Linked DNA regions of Mus musculus: all the other regions are reported to be linked to region 3. Evidence: microRNA targets listed by miRTarBase, many of them from high-throughput screens and not tested one by one. Region 3 holds a microRNA gene; each other region holds the end of a gene's coding sequence.

What was found. Region 3 holds the annotated microRNA mmu-miR-188-3p (CUCCCACAUGCAGGGUUUGCA, at 3,179-3,199, opposite strand). A microRNA usually pairs through its seed, bases 2 to 8, with sites in the 3' UTR of a target mRNA and lowers its output. Matches are read on the target gene's strand: a 7mer-m8 pairs with bases 2 to 8, a 7mer-A1 pairs with bases 2 to 7 and ends in A, and an 8mer does both.
Region 1: miRTarBase lists Med13l as a target of mmu-miR-188-3p. Seed matches in the 3' UTR shown: 7mer-m8 at 2,648-2,654.
Region 2: the mRNA of Tshz3 is a reported target of mmu-miR-188-3p. Seed matches in the 3' UTR shown: 7mer-m8 at 2,389-2,395 and 7mer-m8 at 2,336-2,342.
Region 4: miRTarBase lists Btrc as a target of mmu-miR-188-3p. The part of its 3' UTR that is shown has no 7-base or 8-base seed match.

The regions. Positions count from the first base shown.
Region 1 is chr5:118,760,858-118,766,543 of GRCm38, reverse strand. It overlaps Med13l (mediator complex subunit 13-like), which reads right to left. Exons shown (of 31, transcript NM_172424.4): 30 at 5,146-5,258; 31 at 1,106-3,843. The coding sequence ends at 3,711. Among named protein-coding and RNA genes, the nearest start is that of Gm42015, 80 kb to the left of the region's middle.
Region 2 is chr7:36,769,734-36,775,419 of GRCm38, reverse strand. Tshz3 (teashirt zinc finger family member 3) reads right to left here. Exons shown (of 2, transcript NM_172298.3): 2 at 1,867-5,686. The coding sequence ends at 3,587. Among named protein-coding and RNA genes, the nearest start is that of Gm36722, 74 kb to the right of the region's middle.
Region 3 is chrX:7,244,814-7,250,499 of GRCm38, forward strand. It overlaps Mir188 (microRNA 188), which reads right to left and starts at 3,243; the gene lies at 3,176-3,243. All of the region lies in intron 2 of Clcn5 (chloride channel, voltage-sensitive 5), which reads right to left. It overlaps Mir532 (microRNA 532), which reads right to left and starts at 3,684; the gene lies at 3,589-3,684.
Region 4 is chr19:45,525,455-45,531,140 of GRCm38, reverse strand. Btrc (beta-transducin repeat containing protein) reads right to left here. Exons shown (of 15, transcript NM_001037758.2): 14 at 3,685-3,877; 15 at 1-2,168. The coding sequence ends at 3,716. Among named protein-coding and RNA genes, the nearest start is that of Gm19639, 15 kb to the left of the region's middle.

The sequences.
Region 1 (5,686 bases), not on the chromosome of region 3:
GAGTGGAGGGCTGTGGGAATTGGAAACCAGTTGCAGAAGGTCAGCTGGATGGCCAACGGCTGTCATCATGTCTCCGCGTCTACAGCAAAACTTCTGCCACCTCGGGTTGAGCCACAAGCTACAGGAAGTCCTGCTTCCCGTAGGAGTAAAGTCAGCAATGATGGAATCAGGTGAGTACCAATTGATGTGTGAGCTGAGCAAAGTGCACAGGAAGGCCCTCGAGAACCCACCCAGTTCTGTTTAGCTTGCCGACGTTGGAGTAGGGAGATCTGAGGAGTGAGTGTGTGTGTGTGTGTGTGTGTGTGTGTGTGTGTGCATGCGCATGTGTCACGGCTGGTACCGCCAATGGAAACACATGGATACATGGCTGCCTTTTAGTGTTGAGCTTTCTGCTTTGCAGAGCACTTGTTGTGAACTCCCCTTGCCTTTCACTGTAAATGATGTGACCAGGGGGATGGGCGTGGTGGTGGGGGGGAGGTCCTATGGAGTCAACCCAGCAAATTGCTGTCTAAATTCGGAGACACTGAGATTAGATTTCAAAGCTGATGGAGGACAATGAAAAAACCAAGTCCCTTCCAATTATTCTGGTTTTTACTGGAAGAGCCGCCGAGTCCCAGGGCTTGTCCATTTTGGGTAATGTTTCAAACGGACAGGAGAGTGAACCCAAGACCGAGTGAGTGGGTTCTCTACTGGAGAAAGAAACACCATAGTCACAGCGGATGGTGTGTGTTTAGCAGGACTTGCTTGTGTGTGGCATGACTGATAGCAAGCTACTGCCACCGGCCTGTACATCAGTAGTGAAAGGGGGGGATGCACACTTGTCCTAGGGCTGTCTGCAAACCTCCCAGGACTAGACACGATCAGATCTGCCCTGCTCAAGAACGCGAAGGACCTAAACACCAGAGCACCTAAGAGGCTCTTGGTGCTGGTGGCATCTGGGACCCGACCTGGGAATGCTGGAACAGCCACTGGGGTGGTGGGTGATGCAATCCCCACGTGCACTCTATAGGCCAGAGCAGTAGATCCGTCTGTGACGCATGTGCAGACTGGAGCGGGGTGATCTCAGTACAGAGAGGGGGTGGGAGGGGAAAAGAGCCACTCGAGGTTTCAGTAATTCAATAATTTATTCCTCTAAAAAAGTGTGTAAAAGTATATAGCTCTCATCCACAAGGTATATATGAATGACATTTAAAATGGAGACCTTTGCCATTGATTCTCTTTTATCAAAGTCTTTAGTGTATTGAACCAGCACTGGGCTGTGGTTCTTAAATGAACGTCACATAGGTTTTGTATTTCTTTCCAATTGTCTGCTAGATATAAAAGAAGCGCACTGCAAAATGCTTGAAGGTAAAAGGAAACAAAAAGAAAAAAAAAAAGAAAAAGAAAATCAGAACTTCCCAAAAATGTACAGCTTTTACATTTTAAAAAAAAGGCTCTTGAGAGATACATACAGGCATGCCGGACCAGCCCTCCCGCCTCCCCTCCCGCCTCCCTTTTCAAACCATGGTAGGAGTTCTGATTTCTGCAGTTTTCTCAAAATAAAAAATAAAAAAAAAATAAAATAAAATAACTTCTCACTCTGTAGCAAATCCAGGGCTTGTACATTTCAGATTAATTCTGTAAAAAACTCACAGGTAAAATAATGCATATTTAGGGGAAATATTATACAGACTTTTGCACACAGAAGTACATAATAAGATTTCTTTAAATCTATTGCCATTCATTTATTTTTTGCACAAAAACGTATAAATATGTCACCAGCTTTTCTTAACTTAAAAAACTTAAATAAAAGACACCAGATGGAAACTACCCTTTGCTGCCTTCTTTTAAAACTTTTTATAGCTTTTTTTTCTGGTTTTTTTTGTGTTTTTTTTTTCCTTTTCACTTTTTCTGCGTAGAGTTGGGTTTCTAGGGAAGAAAAGCCCCTGCAGTAAAAACAGCCCATTTAAAAAAGAGAGAGAGAGAGAGAAATTCAAAGTTCTGGTGAACTCTGAGAGGAAGCAATCCCAAGTGGTAAAGATTACAAATATCTAGTTTACAGCCCGTCCTCCCCGAGGTGACTTTATACAAGTTTACATCTCCGTCATCTTACGCTCTTCAAAAGGCCTTGAGGATTTCCTCGCTGATAAGAAAAAATAGCACTGCGATATTTTAAGTCAATTTTACACTGTACACGTTAGATACAAACGGTTTGATATATCAGATTTTTTAAGCTATACATTGGAAAGCAACCCCCCCAGTTGGTGAGACAGAGAACAGTCACCCATGTACAAGTTATTTCTCTGCTTTCACATCCCCACCACATGTTAATATAATGTTTTAAACGTTAGATTATCTCAAGAAAAATACTTTTACAAAACCATATCAATTATTACATTTTTTTCCTTTTCTTTGTTAATAACCAGGACATGAAAGTCTCTTGGAAGAACTTAGTTTGCATGACTCTCCCACGGGAGCCGGGCTCAGTGCCGGGCCTGTCAGGAGGCTCTGGGAAGCCGGTCTACACCCACCACCCACAGACAGAAACATACGACATAAGGGCTAGAAACAGGGTTTCAAAGTCAACCCTAAGGTCTGGGACAGGGAGTCAAGAATACTTCAATCAGCTGCGAATGCTTTAAAAAGGCTTTTTTTTTTTTTTTTAAAGTCCCACATAGAGGCTCAGCTTCAAGTACTGATGTAACGGTTGAGTTGCACTATTTCTTTGAAACAATATTCCTATGGTCCAGAAAAAATTCACTGTGTTTGTAACTGGTTTCGTGAGCAAACACTTTGGTTGTGATATGTACACGAGTCCCTTTTGATCTAATGAAAGGAGAGACCTGGCTTTCTGTAAGAATTCTCTAGAAAAGGTATTTCCATGTGACTGTATAGAGAAGTGATGAAGGTCCTTGCCTCCAGCTCGGGGCTGAGCCTGACCATCTTCATATAGGGGTGCAACCTACACAGGCTGCAGCCACAGACTGTCTGACCGAGTCTACCACTAGGTGGCCTCCCCGCTTCTTCTCACTCCTTTCTTGGCTTCTAGGACAGAGGTATGTACTCAGAGAATCCTACGGTGGGTCTCAGTGGGCTTCAGCTACTGTACCTGGTCCTCAAGATTAGAAAAAACAAAGTCGCAAAAAAACTTACAACAAAATGAAAAATAAATAAACAGAATGCAGCTGTCCCCAGACCTCCTGTGTCTACACAGGTGTGCCATCAACTAAAACCCTCCTGACAGGCGGGGGAGGCAGAGGCCCCAGCACTAGATCCTGTCCTGGAGCTGGCTCTTAGTTGTGACACATCCCAGGTTATGAAGTATGGGAGACCCCCAGGCATCCACCATTGGCTAGAGGATTGCATTCAGAGGGCTGGACAGCCTGGTACTAAACAGAGGCTGAGAGCAGGCTCTTGTGCAAAAGGACGGTGTCTCTTCTCCTTGCCTCTTCAGCCACCAACAGCCGCCACTTCCCGGGGACTGCAGGCTGCACATATCACACATTGGCTCAAGTCACTGCTTATGGAAATTTCCAGGTCCTCGTGAGACACGTCAAGAAGTCACTGTGGCAATGAACACTGCAGGAGGAGCATGAGCCTGCTCAGAAGGCGTCACAGTGCGGGGTATAGGGAGTGCTCTAAAAAAGGCCGGGCATTTGCAGAGTGGAGCAGGCTCCCTGGCCAAGGCTGCAGGAGGAGCTGAGGCAGAGGGCAAGCGCTTCCCTTCCCGGTTAGAGCATGTTCATGATGGCATTGTACAGCTGCGTGAGCACCACGAAGTGGACGGGAAGGCAGGAAGTGCGGTCCTGGGTGGCTGGATTGCACGTGAGCCAGGATAGGGCGTTGTACTGCTCCAGCACAAACCTGCCAGGGAGAGCACAGAGGTCAGCTTCTGGGCCACAGGCTTGGGGTGTGTGGGGCCCACGTGGCCCACCCTGCGTCCCTGCACACCAGCATGGCCACCTCAGGGCCTCCAGGATCAGGAAGCCACTGAATGAAAACTGTTTCATGTTGGCTAGATGCCAAAATGAGAATATACTGATCATATTGAATTGTTCAGAATGTAATACTTTACTGACACTCGGCTTTCCAAGTTTCTCCATGTTATTCTGATGTGGTCACTGGAAAAAAATCAACAGGGATGGACAGGGCCTTGCTCTCTATGGCAGGTTAGCCTGATACTTTTGACCACAGCCTTAGTTGTCTGCCTGGGTGTGCATGGGTATCCTAGGTGTGCATGGTTGTACTTAACTTGCACAAGACCCTTGCTCTCTGTTCCATCAGAGACCCTGGGGGCCAAGTTGCTAGTGAGGCACCTGTCCATCGCCCATTTCCAAACCACAGTACATCAGAGAGCACCCAGAAAGGCTCAGCTCTCAAGGCACAGGATAGCTTCTGTCTGCTTGTTGTTTTGAAGATCCAGTCTTGGGTCTGGGGCAATATCTCAGCTAGTGACAGAAAGGCTGAGTGTGTGCCCCAGAACCCGTGTAAAGCAGTGAGCAACAGTGCACACTATAATCCAATAGCAGGAGGAGGGAAGGGGAGAGGAGGTGGACACAGGCCAATCTCAGGAGCACGGTGAGAGACAGGAAGAGACTGGCTGGCATCTGGCACGTGCATCCACATGCACACACATGCACATCCACACAGTGTCTCCGGAGCTCAGGCTGGACTCTGGGCTTGAACTCAGTAAGTAAGTAAGGATGACTTTCAACTCCTGGTTCTTTAGCCTTCTCTTTCAAGTTCTGGGATTACAGGCATGCACCATTAAATTTTATGCCCTGATGAAAACAGTGAAACAGAGTCCGTGCATCTGAGGTGCATTCCATAACAAAGAATTAGTGCTCTAGTCAATCGAACATACTTATCTGTGGCAGAGAAGGTCAAACTGAGTTTTCCATGCAGAGCCACTCCCAGGCTCTGCTCCCTAACCTTTGTTCTTCTGCCCAGGGCTGACACCTGCATCACCTCTTTGGAATAGGAAATGAAGTGTCCCTGCACCTCCTGTGTGGTGAACTGAGTGCACACACTGTGTGTCCCTGCACCGTGGGGAGAAGTGGACTCTGCTGCTCTGCACAAGCAGCAGTGTCTCTGAGCACCACCCTGTCCTGCACTCCTCAGGGGCAAGGAGGAAGGAGCGCCACTTTCCCACTCAGTCAGAGCTACCTTAGAACGTCAGATGTGGTCTTGGAGTCCAGAGGGTGTGGAGCCCGCTGAGAGGTCCTGGCAGGAAGGAGCTCATCGGTCTGCGCTACAGAGATGTGGTGATGCAGGGAAGCCTGGGGAAAGACCCGAGAACTTTGTTTCTTTCCAGGTGCAGAGCAGCACAGTGGAGAATGAGCGCGGCCCCAGCCCAGGCTCCGGCTCCTCAGTCATGCAGAGGCAGGCTGCTGTGTGCCTGAGTCCCAACTGCTGAGTCATCTCCTGGGACACACTACTGTCCTAGAGGTAAGCTCAACACTAGTTTCAGGGGCCTCTCTTTCTGGTCTAACCGACTTCATTTTGCTTCTTGAGAAAACAAGCTGACTGGTGTGTGTGCACTCAACAGCACACACGTGAGGTCAGAAGACAGCCTGGCGCACTGATCCCTGCCACCAGACGCACCCGGCCGGGGCTTGGGGGCTCTCTGACTGACTGGGCCATCTCACCAGCATACCTTGCTTCTAACACAACAGTCGAGCACATGAAACAGCAGTTCCTATGTAGT
Region 2 (5,686 bases), not on the chromosome of region 3:
TCCACCATCCCTCCAAGAGCCATTTGCAGGCCTCCTTGGACACCAATCTCACCATTTACTCTCCTTCTCTGTTCACATCAGCCATAGACTAAGTGGTCAACAGTAGACTTGGTATTTCCTCTGGATGGTCCTTCTTGATTTGGGGCCCTAACGGGCTATGATCTGGTAGTATTCTTGCATATTGCCTACCCTGTTGCAAGGCGAGGGTTTAGTGGTTTAGAGGAAAGTGGTCCACTTCCCAATGCTAAGAAGACTCTCTTTTACAAAGAGGTTTGCATTCAATAGCTCTCCTTACTAATACTTCCCTGGGGGTAGAATTAATTTAGGGTTTCCATTAGTACCAGCAGGCTGAGTCCAAGGCACAACTGAGTGTGTAACTCACTACCCACCTTGGCTATCAATCTCCATGTCTCCCCCCAAATTGAACAGCCCTGATAATAATCCTGGGGGAGGGGGAGGAGGATTTCTCAGAGTGTTGGGTCCTTCTCAACTGTGAAGAGGGGGGCTCCACCATCACTCACACAAATCCCCTCTCCCTTCAAGCCACATGGGCCCTGGTGATGACGAGAGTGTTGTCAGTTTAATCTGTTAGATGCAGGACTTTGGATTCTAATAAACCGATGCTATATTTAACCTGTGAAAAATTCAAGAGTGGAAATCTGGGCTTCAGGATGCAAAGATGCAGAAAGCACAGCGGGGAGGGGGGGTCTCTGTCTCCTGAGCCAGGTTCTAGGACGGTAGCAGGTATCCTGGTAGAATATAACAACCCTCAGCTTCCTCCGGGTAGAGGGCCTTAGAGAGAAAGACATGGGTTGATCACACTGGAGGCAGAGAGCAGGGCAGACCTTGGACCCAGAGGCCGACAATCCTGAGGCTGTGCCTTACCTGTGTGCCCCAAGTCACAAGGCTGGAGTAGAGTCCCTGTGTCACTACCTGCCAGACACCCATTTTAAACTCCAGCAGAGTTCTTTCCAAAACCAGAGAGAGGGAGGGGGGGATTGCTAAGAAAACAGAGTAGATGGCACATTTGGACTTGTCTTGACAAAAAGGGGTGGGGAGAGGGAAAAACCCGTAGGCGTGTTGCCGAACATTTTTGAAAGGGCTTAATTTAAATTTTTAATAAAAGAGTATCTTTTCTTCCTTCAAGTTGAGGTGTTTTATGTATTACATGGGTGTATCGCATCTCTCATTTGTATAATTCTAGGTTAGGAGCTCTGGTTCTGCCTAACTGCAAGACTAGCTTCAATATAGTAATAAAGGTATTTTACAGTTCTACATGATGTTCTCAGCATTTTGTTGGAGTGATTTGCCAGGGCCAATAAAAGCTTGTGATTATCATATAAATGCTTCCTTCCTACTCCTCTCCCCTTCCCCCTACCTACCCCCCACCCCTGCCATGGATGGGTCCGAACTCCTCCCAATCCCTACCCAACCTGGTTGTCTCTGCTTGCTTTAACTTGGGAAGAACAGATGACCCCTAAGTCTGAATACGTGGGTCCTCTCTACTTTCCCCTTGGAAAATCTTAAGTTAGCAAGAATGAGCCATTATGTACAGAGTCTTCTTAAGACCCTTCAGCCCAGGAACACTATGGGGCATCCAGAAAGGACACCAGAGCCACCCAGGAGAGGTATCCAGCGTGACCTGACTGAGGCTCTGACAGTGGAGACTTTATTACGACATTCCTTGCCCACAGGGGTTTAGCCTCATGTGCATCTCTGATGTCTTTCCAATTTTTATTCCTGAGGGAAATGCTATACAAGCCTCCGAGAGTTCTTTATAAACACCAAAGTTCACTAAAACTCCCCCTGATTTACGCGCAGCCTCCAACTGCCAGCACCTGGCAGACACAGCAACCGAGTCAGTCATAAACAGATCGCATACAATTTAATTTTAATGTGCTCGTTAGTCGTAGCACATCTCAGACATAATTGTGAACGCAACACAAAATTATAGCAAAAAGACAATTTTAATGCTGCCGTAGAAAAAAAGGGTTATATGAAGAGTCACATCATGGTGTGCCATCGTCAACAACAAAACAGGGCACAGAGTGTGTCACGGTGTCTGTGGTGTTTACATGCCAATATTTTATACATAGGTTCTCATATGGTGTCAGCTGTCAGTTATTTCTGCAAATTAACTGCCAGAAATGGAGACAAGAATGGCTTGGAGAGCCGGTTACCACGGGTTACCTTTCATAAGCCTAAAGATAAAACTGCAGTGTGGGATCTTGGGAGAATAATTAGGAGGAACAAAACAAAGTTACCGATTGAAATTAAAAAAAAAAAAAAAGAAAGAAAGAAAGAAAAGAAAAGAAAAAAGAGAAAGGGAAAAAAATCCCACATTATGAACTAGCAACCGAGAGGGCTTATAAATAAGTGAAGGGGCTGTCCCACAGAACGACTCTTGACTTTTAAGCAAAGGATTACAGTACAAACATTTTAAAGGCTTTATCAATGTTCAGGAAATACAGTACAAGTTGGGTTTTTTTTTTTAATCTTTTTTTTTCCTTTTCGAATAGACTTAACCCTTTGAGCACTGAGTTTACTTTGAGCATCCTTTAATTTCTAATAAATACCTTTAAGAACCATGTGCAAAATAGTTATGATGCCTGCCAGGGATGGATTTCCTGACCTCAAAACAAATGATAATAGAATGCTAATAAATATGTATAATTTAAACATGAACCCTCTATCAATATAGATGTGCCGTATAGCAAAACAAACATCATACCTTGCTTTGAGATAATGCTTCTGTATATTTTATAAATGCTATCTGTGGTATTTTCTGTATAATTTACAATGTTTGCATGTAAAAAAAAAACCATAAACCTTAAAAAAAAAGAAAAAGATAAGGAAATATACACTATACAGAGGCATGGCTTGTGCCCAGAGTATAGCAGATACATAAAACACTTGTTATAAATGCAAGAAAGAAAGGGTCATTTAACCAGTCACATTTTCCCATAAGAGTTTGAAATCTATACAATATATACATCTATGTTTCAATGTGAAAATAATATTCTTTTAAATTTCAAGGCGTGTCATACCCCTGCATAAATGGAGGTTCCTAATATTCCTTATAACTAAGCTGGTAACGAGTTTTAAAAACAGAGTTTCATACATTATTATTATTCATTATTATTTTGTTTTATTATTATCTTTTTTTTATTAACCAAATTAATGCAAAAGTGCTTCGTAGTACTCAGAGGGCTAAAGATGAAAGGGTGGGAAATGCCAGCACACCCAAGTCTCATGGAAAAAGTGTGCCTGGTTTCCTTATAAATGCTTAATTAAACCGTCTGTTAATGCATGCAGCTTGAAGCATCGAGGGGATGCTCACAATTAAATCCCATTTACACAAAGTTCCAAACACTTAGCACTGCGTTTTAACCTTCGTTATTTTACCAGTAACAACAGCTGATTATATGCACCTCTCTATTAAACACTGTACAGTTAGACCGAACAGTCCAGCCCAGAACAATCCTCTGCAGTGAACATAAGAACGTGTGCCAAGAACAAGACAGAGAGGGGCTTTAAGGTGCCTTCAGCATTTTCTCCTCCAGTCATTTCCGCTCTGGAGCAAACGCTACTGCTTCTCCAATTCAGAAACGAACAGGAGGTGGTCTTCCGGTGATTTCCCGTGGGTTTTGCTAAGGTGAAGTTTAACAGCATGCTTGCTCGCAAAGGTCCGATTACAAAGTTTGCACTGGTAGGTGGTCCCCAGATCCTCCTCCGGGGAGGATGTCACCAGTTTTTCAGACGGCGACTTGGTTTGTGCTATTTGATTGTTAATCTGTTCGGTGGACAATTTTGATAAGTCCCGTAGCCGGAAGCCCAGATGTGACTCTAGGTGGCTGATGTACGTGGAAGGAGTCCTGATTTGTGACGCACAGTCGTTACAAAAGAACACTGGGTGTCCAGTGTCCAAGTTTTTGAGGAACTTTGTTCCACCTGTCCTTCGAAGTTGGTACTTCACATTGGCCAGCCAATGGCTGATGGTGGTCATGGAGAGACCGGTGAACCTGGAGATGTGCATGCGCTCCTGGGGGCTCAGATCGGACATGATGTACTTCCCTTCTGAAGTCTGCCGCAGGCTAGCTGCAAACTGCGCCTGCAGGATTAGCAGGTGCTGAGGATTCCAGTTTGACTGGCGGCCTTTCCTCTTCTGCGCCGGAGTCGACTCCTCGGCCTCTTCCAGGGTGGCCCCGTCAATGTCAGACTTCTCAGAGATGCTGGAAGGAGTGGAGGATTTTGACGTGTGGCTCTCTGTCAAGTTCTTCAACATATCGGATATATCTGACAAGGCATTCTCACGCAGCGGCGAGTTTGACATGAATGATACGACGGCAGATGTCTTTGCCGTTGTCACCGTGGATGAGGAAGTTGCCGGGGATGTGGACGTGGGGGACAAAAGCCCTGAACCTAAAGAGCAACCTTTGTCGCTCTTCCCTTTTGTCAAGTCTATGGGCTGGTCATTGTTGACGTGGTAGAAATAGCGGTCCAGATGCTCCGCCTTCTTGGCCTGAAGGGGTGGTGGGGTGGCCACAGCTGCCTTCTCGGCCAGACTGTTGCTCATCTTGAAAAGCATGCTCATGGGGTCCAGCGCAGGCAGCGAGGGCTTGGCGGCCTTGCCCAGGTGGATGTTCATGACCGACTGCAGGGCACTCAGGGGGTTCACAAAAGGCTGTTCTGGTGGGTGGTCCGTGATAATGGCTGTGCTGCCGCTGAGACCTCCGCTCAGGGGCTTCACCAGCTCCTTGCCATTCTCTACGGGCTCTGCGGAGGGGCTCGCCTCCTTGCACGCATCTCTTGGTGGGCTGGGGCTATTCTCCTGACTTTTGAAGCTGCCGTCGCTGGAGGCCTCCATCTTGATGGGTTCGCTCTGCTCGCTGCTGCACGGGGACGGCGTGGCCCGCTTGGGTGGCGAGAGCTTGCCTTCTGGCTCTTTCATTTTCTCCTCAACTTTGGCAACTTTCTCCGTGACTTTTTTCACCAGTTCCTCCATGGCGTGAAAGTTTGTCTTGGGCATGGGAGAGGTCTGGCTGCTGGGTGGAGAGACCAGGGTCTGGGTTTTTGTGGGAGACACGATTTCGCTGTTGCCAAACATGGGTTTCAGGGGCGTGCTCTTCCCCGAGGAACCCAGGGACAACTTCATCATGTTGGGGAGCTGGTAGGCAGCGTGGATGCTGGGATAGCCGCCCCAGCTGGGAGTGCCATTCTGAGCCTTGTTGATGGCAGACGTTACTGTGTTCTCAAGGGATTTGAGGATATCTAGTCCACCTTTAGGGCTCTCTTCTAGGTCGTTTTCAGTCAAATAGTGGTACTTGGAAGAAATATCATACTTCTCCTCCTCTTCACTGGGCTTCTCTCTCTCCTTGGGTTTCTCATCCGGGACTGCTTTCTCCTTGTCCACTTCCTTTTTGATCTCCACCGCCAGCTTCGGGGAGACACTCGCGGGCGTATTGGAGGGAGACGTGAATGTGGTGGCTGCCAGTGGCACAGACTGCACCTTCTCGTCCAGCAAGGTGGTGATGGTGGGCGTGACCGGTGTCTCCATGATGGGCTTCCCCTTCTTCATGGCCGAGTTTGTGACCTTGATAAAGTGGCCAGTGACCATCATGTGAGCTGTGAGCTCCTGGAGCGTGTCATGGGAGCTTCCACACTCCATGCATTTGAGGATCTGAGA
Region 3 (5,686 bases):
GGAGCAGACCAAAAAGCTGGATCATAAGGATTACATAGGGAAATTATGACAAAATTTACTTTTTATAAACCCTTGAACATATGAAAGGAGGAAGCTTTATGAGAATAAGAAATTTATTCTTAGATACAAACCTTAGCACATAGTACATTCATAACCCCTCATGCTTTGCCTACTTTTGGACATGCAAATTCAAGAAATGCTCAAAACCCTCTGCACTAGGAGAGGTGATAAATACATGCTTTCTTTGTGCAGACGATGCTTGCTCTCTGTGAGTCCTTGCCCAGGTACTGTGCACTGGCAAAGCTCAAGGTGTTAAGGATTAAAGAGGAGGTAGAGGAGGTACCCAGACATGCATACAATTCATTCACAAGAAAGAAGAAAAAGAAGTCTGCCTTTGGCTACTTCTCTCATACTTCATATCCAACATCAGAAAATCCAAATTGCTCTACATTTGAAGTACATTCATAACTACATTTCACCACTGTCAGCATCACCACCTCCCCAAGCCTGTCGGACCTCACAATACCTATATTATTTCAGTGGCTTCCTAGTAGGCCTCTGGAACTCTCCTGATTTGCCCAGTCAAAACGAGGGTTATGAAACAATTAAATATCTAAATCCCTAATAACTCTAACTTTGAATTATAAATAAGAACTTAAGCTGAATAATATATTTTATCTATTACTAACAGTATGAGACAAACATTTTGTTAATACTATTGATCATGAAGAAGTTTAAAAACAACTACCAATCCAGATGCAATGAGAACTCTGATGCCCACATAATATATGAACTCTAATACGTTATCTGACTTAAGGAAACAAATGCTTGTTGAAAGCATGTCATATGTCAGAGTGATGATGACAATGAGTAAGAAGCACTGTTGCATCCTTGAAGGCAGAGAAGTTATCAAGTAACTACTAGAGCCAAAGGACTGAAGGCCAACTAAGCTTGACTTTCAGCGACAGGGTCTATATTGGCACAGTACTCACTAAGTGGCCTATGGTAGCCTCAAACTTGCAATGATATTCCTGTCTTCATACCTTAAGTGCAGAGTTACAGACATGTGACACCATATTTGAAGAAGCTCACACTGGCAGAAGATGGAAGATTTGGGCTTCACTGCAGAGAAGAACTGCAATGAGGGAAAAACTAAATACATTTAAATCCCTGTGTTTATCAAAATAGTTTTTGAATGCATATCTTTGCAATAACTCATTTTTAGCCCTGATAAGAGAGTCAAGCATTTACCTTTTCTTTCTTAGGAAAACTGTTATTAGTAGGTAATCAAATAGTAAATGAGGGGAAGTTTTTACTTTACAGAAGTTACCCAGCAATTAACAGGAGGGTGAATAGTGGAATGCCACCATTCTACAACTGCTAATGAAATAATGGCTCTAGGATTTGAGCATCAATGGCAAACTACCGTAACACACAAAGACCTGTATCTCTGAATGGAGGCAGTTCTTTCCTCCCCACAAATTAAGCCTGAATCTAATAAGGCTCTTGGATACAACTCTCAATTAATAGGAAATGCAAATAAAAGGAGCATGGAAGCTACATCAGAGGAATGTGCTCATAAAAACACAAGACTGTGGAAAGCCACGCAGATATATGACCTACTTTCTTCCAACAAATAAGTATGAGGAAAAAGGTAAAGACGGGCTTATAATTCAAAGGCACTTAAAATACTGGCCAATGAAATTAATGCAAGGGTCTTATTTAGATCCTAGTTTATGATACCTCCAAAAGAAATGGAAATTTGAACAATGGATATATGATGTCAAAGAATCGGTAATTATTTCTAAACATGATAATGGCACAATGACTTTTGTTGGATTACAAAAAGAAAACAATCCTTCCTTTTGTGCAGATTCACACTAATCATCAGTGCTCTTCCCTCCATCTGTGACTGAAGCCTTCCACACTTCTGCTGCTGCTTCAATGGCATTGATGCTCTCAGTACACAGCAGCCTTTCCTAAAGGCTCCACTGGAAACTGAAATGCCACCACTTTCCCTACTATTGTCACTCCACGCATTACATACTTGTTTCCCTTGCTTTTTCATTCTCCTGGGCAACAATGACCCACTGCGTGTTTAATCATTTTGTTTACTGCCTTCATCTCCCTAATAGCCCTGATTAGTGCTGTGTACGTGGGTGCATAGGAAAATACTCAAAGTAAAAAAGATAACCAAGCGACATTTGCTGAATAGCCTACCAAACAAATCAGCTGTGAACCCTGGGTCTGGAACAGGATGAGGAAAAAAGTTCCAGCTTTCAAGAGAAAGAGTTTCAGTATCAAACAAAAAAGAACTATCCAAATAAATGTCTTAAAGCTATCATACACTCTCCTGCACAAAGAAATATATATGTGAGAAAGCAGGACACAGTGCGGGTTTTTCCACTCCCTGAAATCTAGTATATATGTGAACAAATGCATCTAAAGAAGTACGTGCAAATTTCCTCATAGCATAAGCTTATGAGAAATAGCTAGATGGCTTTCTTTCCAGCTAACTTGAGAATGAGAGTCCTGAGAAGGCTCTCTCTGCTCCCCTATATACAGGAAAAGCAAGACCAGGACAAAAGACTTCCCTTCTTTCTAAGCAATAACTGTCACCAAAGGTAAGGGTCCATACTCTGTACAAAATACAATACAAAATTAGAAGGTAAGAAGGCTGGAAATATAACTCAGTTGATAAAAGTATGCCTAGAACTCACAGAACCCTGGGTTCCATCCCCAGCACAGCAGAAACCAGGCGTACATTCCTATAATCCTAGCATTCAGGACAAAGAGGCATGAAGATCAGAATTGGAACATCAAGCCAGGCATAGCCACTCCAGTCTTATATCTAGCACTGAGAAGGCAGAGGCAGGCGAATTTCTGAGTTTGAGGCCAGCCTGGTCTACAGAGTGAGTTCCAGGACAGCCAGGGCTATACAGAGAAACCCTGTCTCGAAAAAAAGTGCTCCATCATCATCCTTAGCTATGCAGGGAGTTCAAAGGCAGCATGGGACACATGAGCCCTCCCTGGAGAAAGAAAACTGTGAGATGTGCATGTCAGGTGGAAGACAGGACAGATGGCTGTTTCCTTGGGTATGTGGGGTTTTCTTTATGAAGTTGTGTATGCATATGTCCACCATGCACAAGAGAGCAAGGAAAGCTGAAGCTCACCATCCTGCAAACCCTGCATGTGGGAGGGGTTTTCAGAGAGCTCACCCTCCACCATGCAAGGGATGTGAGAGAGGGAGCAGGGAAGGGTTCACTCTCTTGGCACAACAGGTAGGTACTTTCTATGGAAAAAGCAACAGAAAGCAGCCCAGGGATCACGCAGAAACAACAAACCAGCTACATGAAACTGATGGTGGGTAAGGCAGGAGGAACACACACATGCGGACCAAGAGGGGCATTACAGGCAGGAAAGTCACTTGGAAGAGATAGCGAATGGCAATGCTGTGTGTATATATATACATATATATATATGTATATATATATATATATATGCGCCACACAGAGAGCACATGAGAGAGAGGAGACATGTCTTTGCTGTAGATGTATATGCAGTCATGCCTATGCACAGGAGAGAGAAGAGAAGGCTTGCTCTCCTGCAAGCCTTGGGTGTGGGAGGGTAATTAAGATGTCAACGGTCCTACACTCAAGGCATGGAAGAGAAAAAGCAAATCTGTAGGCGTGCTCTCCTGTGTACAAATCAGCATGCATGTACAACAGTGTGTCTTTGTCTGTGTTGTATGTTGGTCCTGAAAGGTATGATGACTGCCTTAGACATAGCACAATGAAAAGGTGTATTTGTGAACATGCACATATATGCCTTTAGGAGTGTTCACTTCCTATGGACTATTTGTTTTTATACTCTTAATTATTCATTTTATTTATTCACTTTATATTCCACTCACTGCCCCCTCTTCCAGTTGTTTTTAATATTCTTTTCTTTTTATTCCCAATGCCAGTTTATATTTGCTCTTGGTAGAGTATTAAGTTGTGGTAATTTGTTAAGCTCTTCTATGTTTCTTTTTTTTAAATTAGATATTTTCTTTATTTACATTTCAAATGTTATCCCCTTTCCTGGTTTTCCCTCTGAAAACCCCCTTTGCCATCCCCCTCCCCCTGCTCACCAACCCACCCAGTCCCACTCCCCTGCCTTGGTATTCCCCTATACTGGTGCATCGAGCCTTCTCAGGATCAAGGGCCTCTCCTCCCATTGAGGTCCAACAAGGCCATCCTCTGCTACTTATGCAGCTGGATCCATGAGTCCCTCCATGTGTACTCTTTGGTTGGTGGTTTAGTCCCTGGGAGCTCTGGGGCTACTGGTTGGTTCATATTGTTGTTTCTGCTATGGTGGATGCTCTCATCCAACCACTGGATGAGAGCATTCACCTGAACCTCCACATAGCTAACACACTCCCCTCCCACATTCCTGAGCTAAAATTTATTAAATCTATATTTTATCTTTGCTGTCCTGAACCCTTTTGGGCAGCCCTTCTGGGGCCACCTTCCCCTTTGTGTAGTCTCCCCTCCCCCAGCCTGAAACCTTGCTTGCTCAGGGGTGGAGCTTCCCGCTCAATCTTTCTGCCACGCCTACTGCTGGAACCTGCCGCTTTGCTGTTCCGAAGCCATCACGTGATCACCCTGCTACTGGATCCCAAGATTATTTGGCGGGAATTGGGCCCCTTCCCCCTTCCTTTATAACTGAGTGCCAAAATAGTAAAAATTGAACCGTGAGCAGAGAGCTTTGTCTTGGTTCCTTCCTTATCTCGCGCAGCCCAGCCCCTCTTCTCTTCCAGGTTTCCAAAATGCCTTTCCAGGCTAGAACCCAGGTTGTGATCTACTGGCCAGACACAACACCTTTGTACCTACATTTCAGCTGTCTCTCCCTCCTGTACCTTCCCTGCATAGTCTGTCACTTGTGCCCTTGTCATTGTGGAATCCCCTCTTCCTTCTCTGCTGTGCTTCTTGCTGGGGAATCCTGCAAGTCTGGCTTCTGTCTCCCTGCCCAGTCACTGGTCACTGGCAACTTTATTTCCCAATCAGAGCCAACTAGGAGCAGAGACCCTCAGCACAGACATGTGGGCTCCCATATGATTTCAGGAGCCAAATTAACACAAATAACATTAGAACCAATCTGCAACATTAAGTACTTTTCATATACAACTAATTTGTTCCCACAAATATCTATGAAGTAATGATCATGTTCCCTGTCCTACAGATGAAACAATACCAGGTCATACTTAAAGAACAGCTAGAAAGAATGATTATAGGATATAATCTGGGTGTAGCAGTACACCCTCCATAATCTCAGCAATGAGAGGCTGAGGCAGGTGAATAGCAAGTTGGAGACCTGACTGCTTTACATTGTACAATCATGTGATCAAAATAAAAATCAACAAACAAAAAAGAAAGCTGAGAATGTGTAATGTGAGCCATCAGAAAGAAAGCCGGAAAAGTGGGCTTTATCTCCTGATCATATTTGTGTGCTCACACAAAAGGTAGAGCACAAGGCTTTTGAGCCCAGGGAAGAGGTAATGAAAGTGGAAGTACTAGAGGCAATGGGATATTAGCCACTTCTAATGTGTGTTAGATTGGACCTGTTTTAAAAGTACAGCCAACTGCATTTCATAATGCCTTGGACTTAAAGTCTAAAAAAATAAATTTCAAAGATCCTTCCAGAG
Region 4 (5,686 bases), not on the chromosome of region 3:
CTGAACCTGGGAGGAGAGCACAGCCCTGGCACCAACCAGTCTGCAGCAGTGCCCACACTGCCCCCTAATCCTGGGCATCCACGCTAGGCAGATGTCCTCCAGCTCCTAACTTCTTAAAGCAGCATGGAACTGAAGAAGGGCTGGTAGACTTGTGGCCACTAGACCATTTCTTGAAGCAGCTTAGGTCTCTTCATGTCTGACCCGTTTTGCAGCAAAGTCCTTCACTATTAACAGTCAACATAACAGACAAGGGACTCGGCGGGGTTAACCAGACAAGTCTGCAACACGTGGTTGGTTGGGAAAGGAGAAATGCGGCTAACACAGGGAAGGCAATCTGTACACGTGACCTGACCCAGCACGTAATGGCATTCACTAGTGGGACACGTTGGGCAAGGGGTAACTTGCAAACCAGTGAAGTGAAGGTGGTCTATCTGAGGGCCAGTTGTGAAAGGGCCCCACTTCCTGCTCAGGTGAAGGTGGTCTGTCTGTGACCACATGTGATGGGCCCCGTTCTATTTTAAGCAGCTTGTTCAGTTGGTTTTCTTCAACTCAAATGCACGGTTAGGAACAGCATGACAGTCTGACTGCTTGGCTTCCAAGTGAAACCGAGGCTGCACTGTGGCCTAAGTCACCCCTTGGCAGGCCCTGTGCATGCTGTGGGGTAACTAAGTTGGTTTTCAGTTCAAGTACTTCCAGGTTTGGCCATGAGTGTCTGCATCTGGAGCCTACTGGCAGGGGCCCAGTGCAGCCGTGTACACGACCTGCTTAGCTCTGCCCTTGTGGAAGTGCAGCCGCTTATGTCATCACTGACTGCCAGCTAACTGGCTGGGGAAAGTGGACAGCAAATAAGGCTGGGAGAAGGAAAGAAAGAGAAGGCAGCTTTTGCTTATCAGTAAACCCTGTGTGCCAAGCTTCACCCTGATCCCCTCTGGCAGCCTCGCCTTTCTGCAAGCACTCGGCATAAGGACCTGCAGTGGAAGGCTGAGATGCTGACATTTACTGGCCTAACCCAGAATCTGTTTCTCTCCTGACCATCTCTTAGGCTACTATGCTCTTGGTGGGCAGTTACAGGTCCCTGGGTGCTTTCCAGCTCAGTCGAGGAACAAATTCGAGCCACAGAGCAGAGTGCAGTGGTGCCTGGTGCTGGCTATTCCAAGCCTTTGTGCAGGCCAAGCCTCGCCAGTGATTTAAGATGAAGCACAATGCTTTTTATTACACATCTAATTGTTAATGAGAGGAATGCAATCAGCAGCTCCTCTCCACTCTACATGGGACCGAGGAAGACCGCTGAGTCCGAAGCAGACACAGCACTGATGGTGCCCAGGACATTCCTGCCCTTCCCCAGGGCACAGGGAAGGAGAAAGCTGCAAATGTGACTGACCAATGTCATGGTCACAAATCCACTGGTGCCCCAGGTTGGTCACTTGCAGCAAAAGCCTGGGCTGGAAATAAGGACGAACTCAACTCTTGCAAGTGTCACATTGTCTAGGTGATCCGCCTCATGCTAGCTGAGGACTCTCTTTGCACACCTTCTCAGGCTCAAGATGGAGTATGGGAGCAGGGAAGAGGGACAGACACCCAGACAATGGAGGGAGGCAGCAGTGCAGATCTTCCAGTGTGTGTGCGCCTCTCCTCTCTCTCTCTCTCTCTCTCCCCTCCAAGATGTGTAGGCAGCTGTCTCCTCCCACGCAGTGGCTGGGACTGCTCTGGCCAGATGCTGGACACTCCTGCAGTTAACAGGAGGAGGCCAGGCAGTCTCTGCCTGGAAGCTGCAGCCCCTGTCCCCTAGAAGTGGGCCAGGTGGGGAAACTAGTTCTTCTGCTTAACGGCAAAGCAAGAGAGATTCTGGCAAAACACTAAATATATTTATAAGTCATCTTTGTCTGGAACCCAATGGGAGGGAAACAGGTGCAGGGAGGAAGGGGAAGGGAAGGGGAGGGAGGCTTGGAAGTTCCAATCATTCACACAAGATAAAGACATCTTCTGATAGCAGCACTGAGGCAGCCGGTGCCGAGCAGGCCGTCCTGGTCGGCTGCTGACCGACTGTGTCCCAACAGGAGTCTCAAAGCCCTGCTCCTCGCTCATCCGTCCGGGAATCCGGGTAGGAGTTTGATTGTTGTTCATCCTGGTCTTGGCAGGTCTGTTAAATACTGCAACATTAACGAGTCCTGTGTGAAAACACAGCCAACAGTCATCAGCACCTTTCCCCGTACTTTTTACTTGCTTTAAGAAAAGAGAATGTTCAGCCGGGCGTGGTGGCGCACGCCTTTAATCCCGACACTTGGGAGGCAGAGGCAGGCGGATTTCTGACCGTGCTCCTGATCCCTTTGAGGGTGTAGGTGGTGGCTGGAAGTGTAGCCTGGAGATAAAAGCTCTGTCTCCTCTATGTAGAAGTGAGAGCTAATGCCATAGAAACAGAGAAGACAGCCTAAGAAGGGAGCCTAGATGATGATTCAAAAAGACCAAACCAGGCTCTCAGGGCAGTGTCTGTTTCAGCAGCGAGAGGAGGAAACAGATGTAAACAAAGTTAGGAAGAATAATAACGGCAAGGGTTAGGGGCACATTTCTGTGGTTAAACGGGTGTTTAGCATGAACCAGGCCAGGTTCTCAATACCCCAGGGGCCTCCACCCCAACAGCAAAATGCTCTTACATTGGAAAAAAAACCAAACATTGGCAGAAAGAGCAGATAAGTATATGGTGGGTACAGGAGCGTGACCACGGTTACCTTTATAAAAAGATGAGTGACGTCCTAAGAGCTTTGCAAACACTGTCTTCATGCAGACCTGTGAGTGGGCCCTACACTCACTTCCCTCATCAGGGTATGGCAGCTCGTGTGACAGTGTGACTTAGCAACTGTGTCCTCTACGATAGCAGAGAAACTGAGGGAGCCCCCAGATGCCGATCACCCCCTCAGAAAGACAGGTGCAGGGGTGTAGTGAAAGGCACATCTGTGGTAACTACAAGGCAATGGTAGTGTGGGAAACAGGAAGTGACGTGGAGCTAAAGGCTGGTGCTAAGTTCCTAAAGCCAATAACCTAACCTGTCTGAGCCAGTGACCACAGCGGATGCCAACGGCAAACACACTCATACAGAATGCACGGGTACTTTAGGTTTTATTCTGTTTTAGAGAGGTGCTAGAGATGTGGGAAGGGTACTAACTTCAAGTAGCTGCTGGGGCTGAACAAACCAGGTATTCTCCTGTAGAAGTTGCAGAGAAAGTAGAGGCAAGGAAGCCACCTTCTGTTCCCAGCGAGAATGACGTGGCAGCGACGCAGAGCTGTGTGATGTCAGTGGCACACTGCTGCTTGAGCCATTTCCAGTCACGTTGATAAGTTAGCCTGGAAGGGGCTCCCCTGTAGGTACTTCATCTAAGAACTATAAATGCTAGGCTCGGGCTCACTCGTTTTCAAACTGTTCAAATGTCCTTTTACTTTGATAACATTTGTACTGAAGGAACTATAATAACAGAAGAAGAATCCTCTAAACTGGAACTGTACCTTGGGGAGAGTGGTGCTCACTGGGGCAGCCCCTGCCTTATCTCATGCTGTCAGCTCTGCTTTCCTGTTGTACAGGGATGGGTGACACAAATGGTCTGAGAGTGAGATGGCTCTGGGAGTGGGCAGCACCCACAGCCAGTCCTCCATCTCCTAGCACGGGGCTCGTGCATGCTTCTTCTCTCATACCTGGGCAATTATGAGGCCAGTGTTGGGTTATTTATCTGGAGATGTAGGTGTATGTCCGAGAAGGGGAGCGGGGCGGTTCAGCGTGAGCAGCTGGATCATTCAGGAAGTCCCAGATGAGAATTGTGTCATCATGTGAACTACTGACAATCTGGAATTCATCAAACTGGAGGCGGAAAACTCTTCCAGAATGCTCCTAAAGAGGCAGAGACAAAAAGAGTTAAGACTTTGAACTCAAAATCAAAAGCCTCTTTGTTTGAAGGAGCCTACAGAGAGGCTCAGGTATGCTCTTTCACTGTTCATCACAGACAGGAAGCAGTTCACTATCGTTAGGATGCAAAGCATCGTTAGGATGCAAAGCTCAAATATTGGGCAACAACTGATCTCAGCAACACAGGGACCACGCTTATTACCGAGGCAAAAAGGCAGTGAGGATGCTGGCTTGTCAACACTGCCTTCTGGGCTGGAGGAGAAAGCTCCTTAGTACCTCCCTGGTCTTGTCTCCCTTCGAGTTCCTTTGACTGACCATCAGGAGTTAAGGGGTGATCCGCAGTAAGTAGTGACATGCCGGAAATGTGTGCTGACAACCTTCCTAGATCTGGAGAGATGGCTCAGCAGCTAAGAGCACTGGCTAGAGGCCCCAGGTTTGATTCCTAGCACCCACATGGTAGCCTACAACCATCTGTAACTACAGTTCCAGGGGGACTTGACATCATCTGGCCTCTGAGGACAATGAACTGCACAGATAGACATGCAGGCAAAACATCCATGGACATAAAATAAAAGCAAACCTTAGAGGAAAAAGAAACTTCCTTAATGTGAAGAACTATTTATAGATTCTCATGATTCACAAAGTCCTACCATGGCCAATCTGGAGCTACCCACATATGGTCAACAACTTGCCAAATTCTTTGTTGTTGTTGTTTTTTCTTTTCTCGAGATAGGATTTCTTTGAATAACAGCCCTGGCTGTTCTGAAACTTGCTTTGTAGACCAGACTGGTCTCAAACTCAGAAATATGCCTGCATCTGCTTCCTGAGTGCCAGGATTAGAGATGCGCCACCATGCCTAGCAACTTGGAAAATTTTAATGGTTGGCTGTTCTGGGGTCAGAGCCTAATTTTGCACATGAGGGAGTGAACACTGCCTAAATCAGGTGCAGACTACATCTAACTTCCTGGAAAGGACTTTCAACCCTGCCAGTCAGTGTCTGCTGCACCCCAATGTCATCACTGATCTTTACCTGCCCTCGAATTCATAGAAACACACACATGCTGCATACATTTGCTTGTGCAAGCTTACTTTTTTAAAGATTTATGTATTTTATGTTATTTATTTATTTTATGTATATGAGTACACTGTTGCTCTCTTCAGACACAGATGCCAGAAGAGGGCATCAGATCCCATTACATGTGGTTGTGAGCCACCATGTGGTTGCTGGGATTTGAACTCAGGACCTCTGGAAGAGCACTCTTAACTGCTGAGCCATCTTTCCAGCCCCGTGCCTAGCTTATTTTACTCAAATATTAGAACAATGTTTTGTTGTTGTTTGTTTGTTTTTGTTACTATAAGTAAAAGCAGTTACTTTACCCCTTTAAAAGATTAGTGGCCAATATCCCATTGTATGACTGTACTACAGTTAGTCTACTGTCTAATTTGCTCTTTTGTTTTTTAGTTTTTTGAGAAAGGGTTTCTCTGTGTGGCCCTGGCTGTCCTGGAACTCACTCTGTAGACCAGACTGGCCTCAAACTCAGAGATCTGCCTGTCTCTGCCTCCCAAATGAAAGCATCTTTGTTATAACAAAAAAAAAAAAAAAAAAAGGCAGGCAGTGGTGGTGTATGCCTTTAATCCCATCACTTGGGATGCAGAGACAGGCAGATTTCTGAGTTCGAGGCCAGCCTGGTCTACAGAGTGAGTTCCAGGACATACAGACCTGCAGAGAGACCCTTTTTCAAAAATACCAAAGAACAAAACAAAACAAATATACGTGGAGCTGCTGTGATGGCA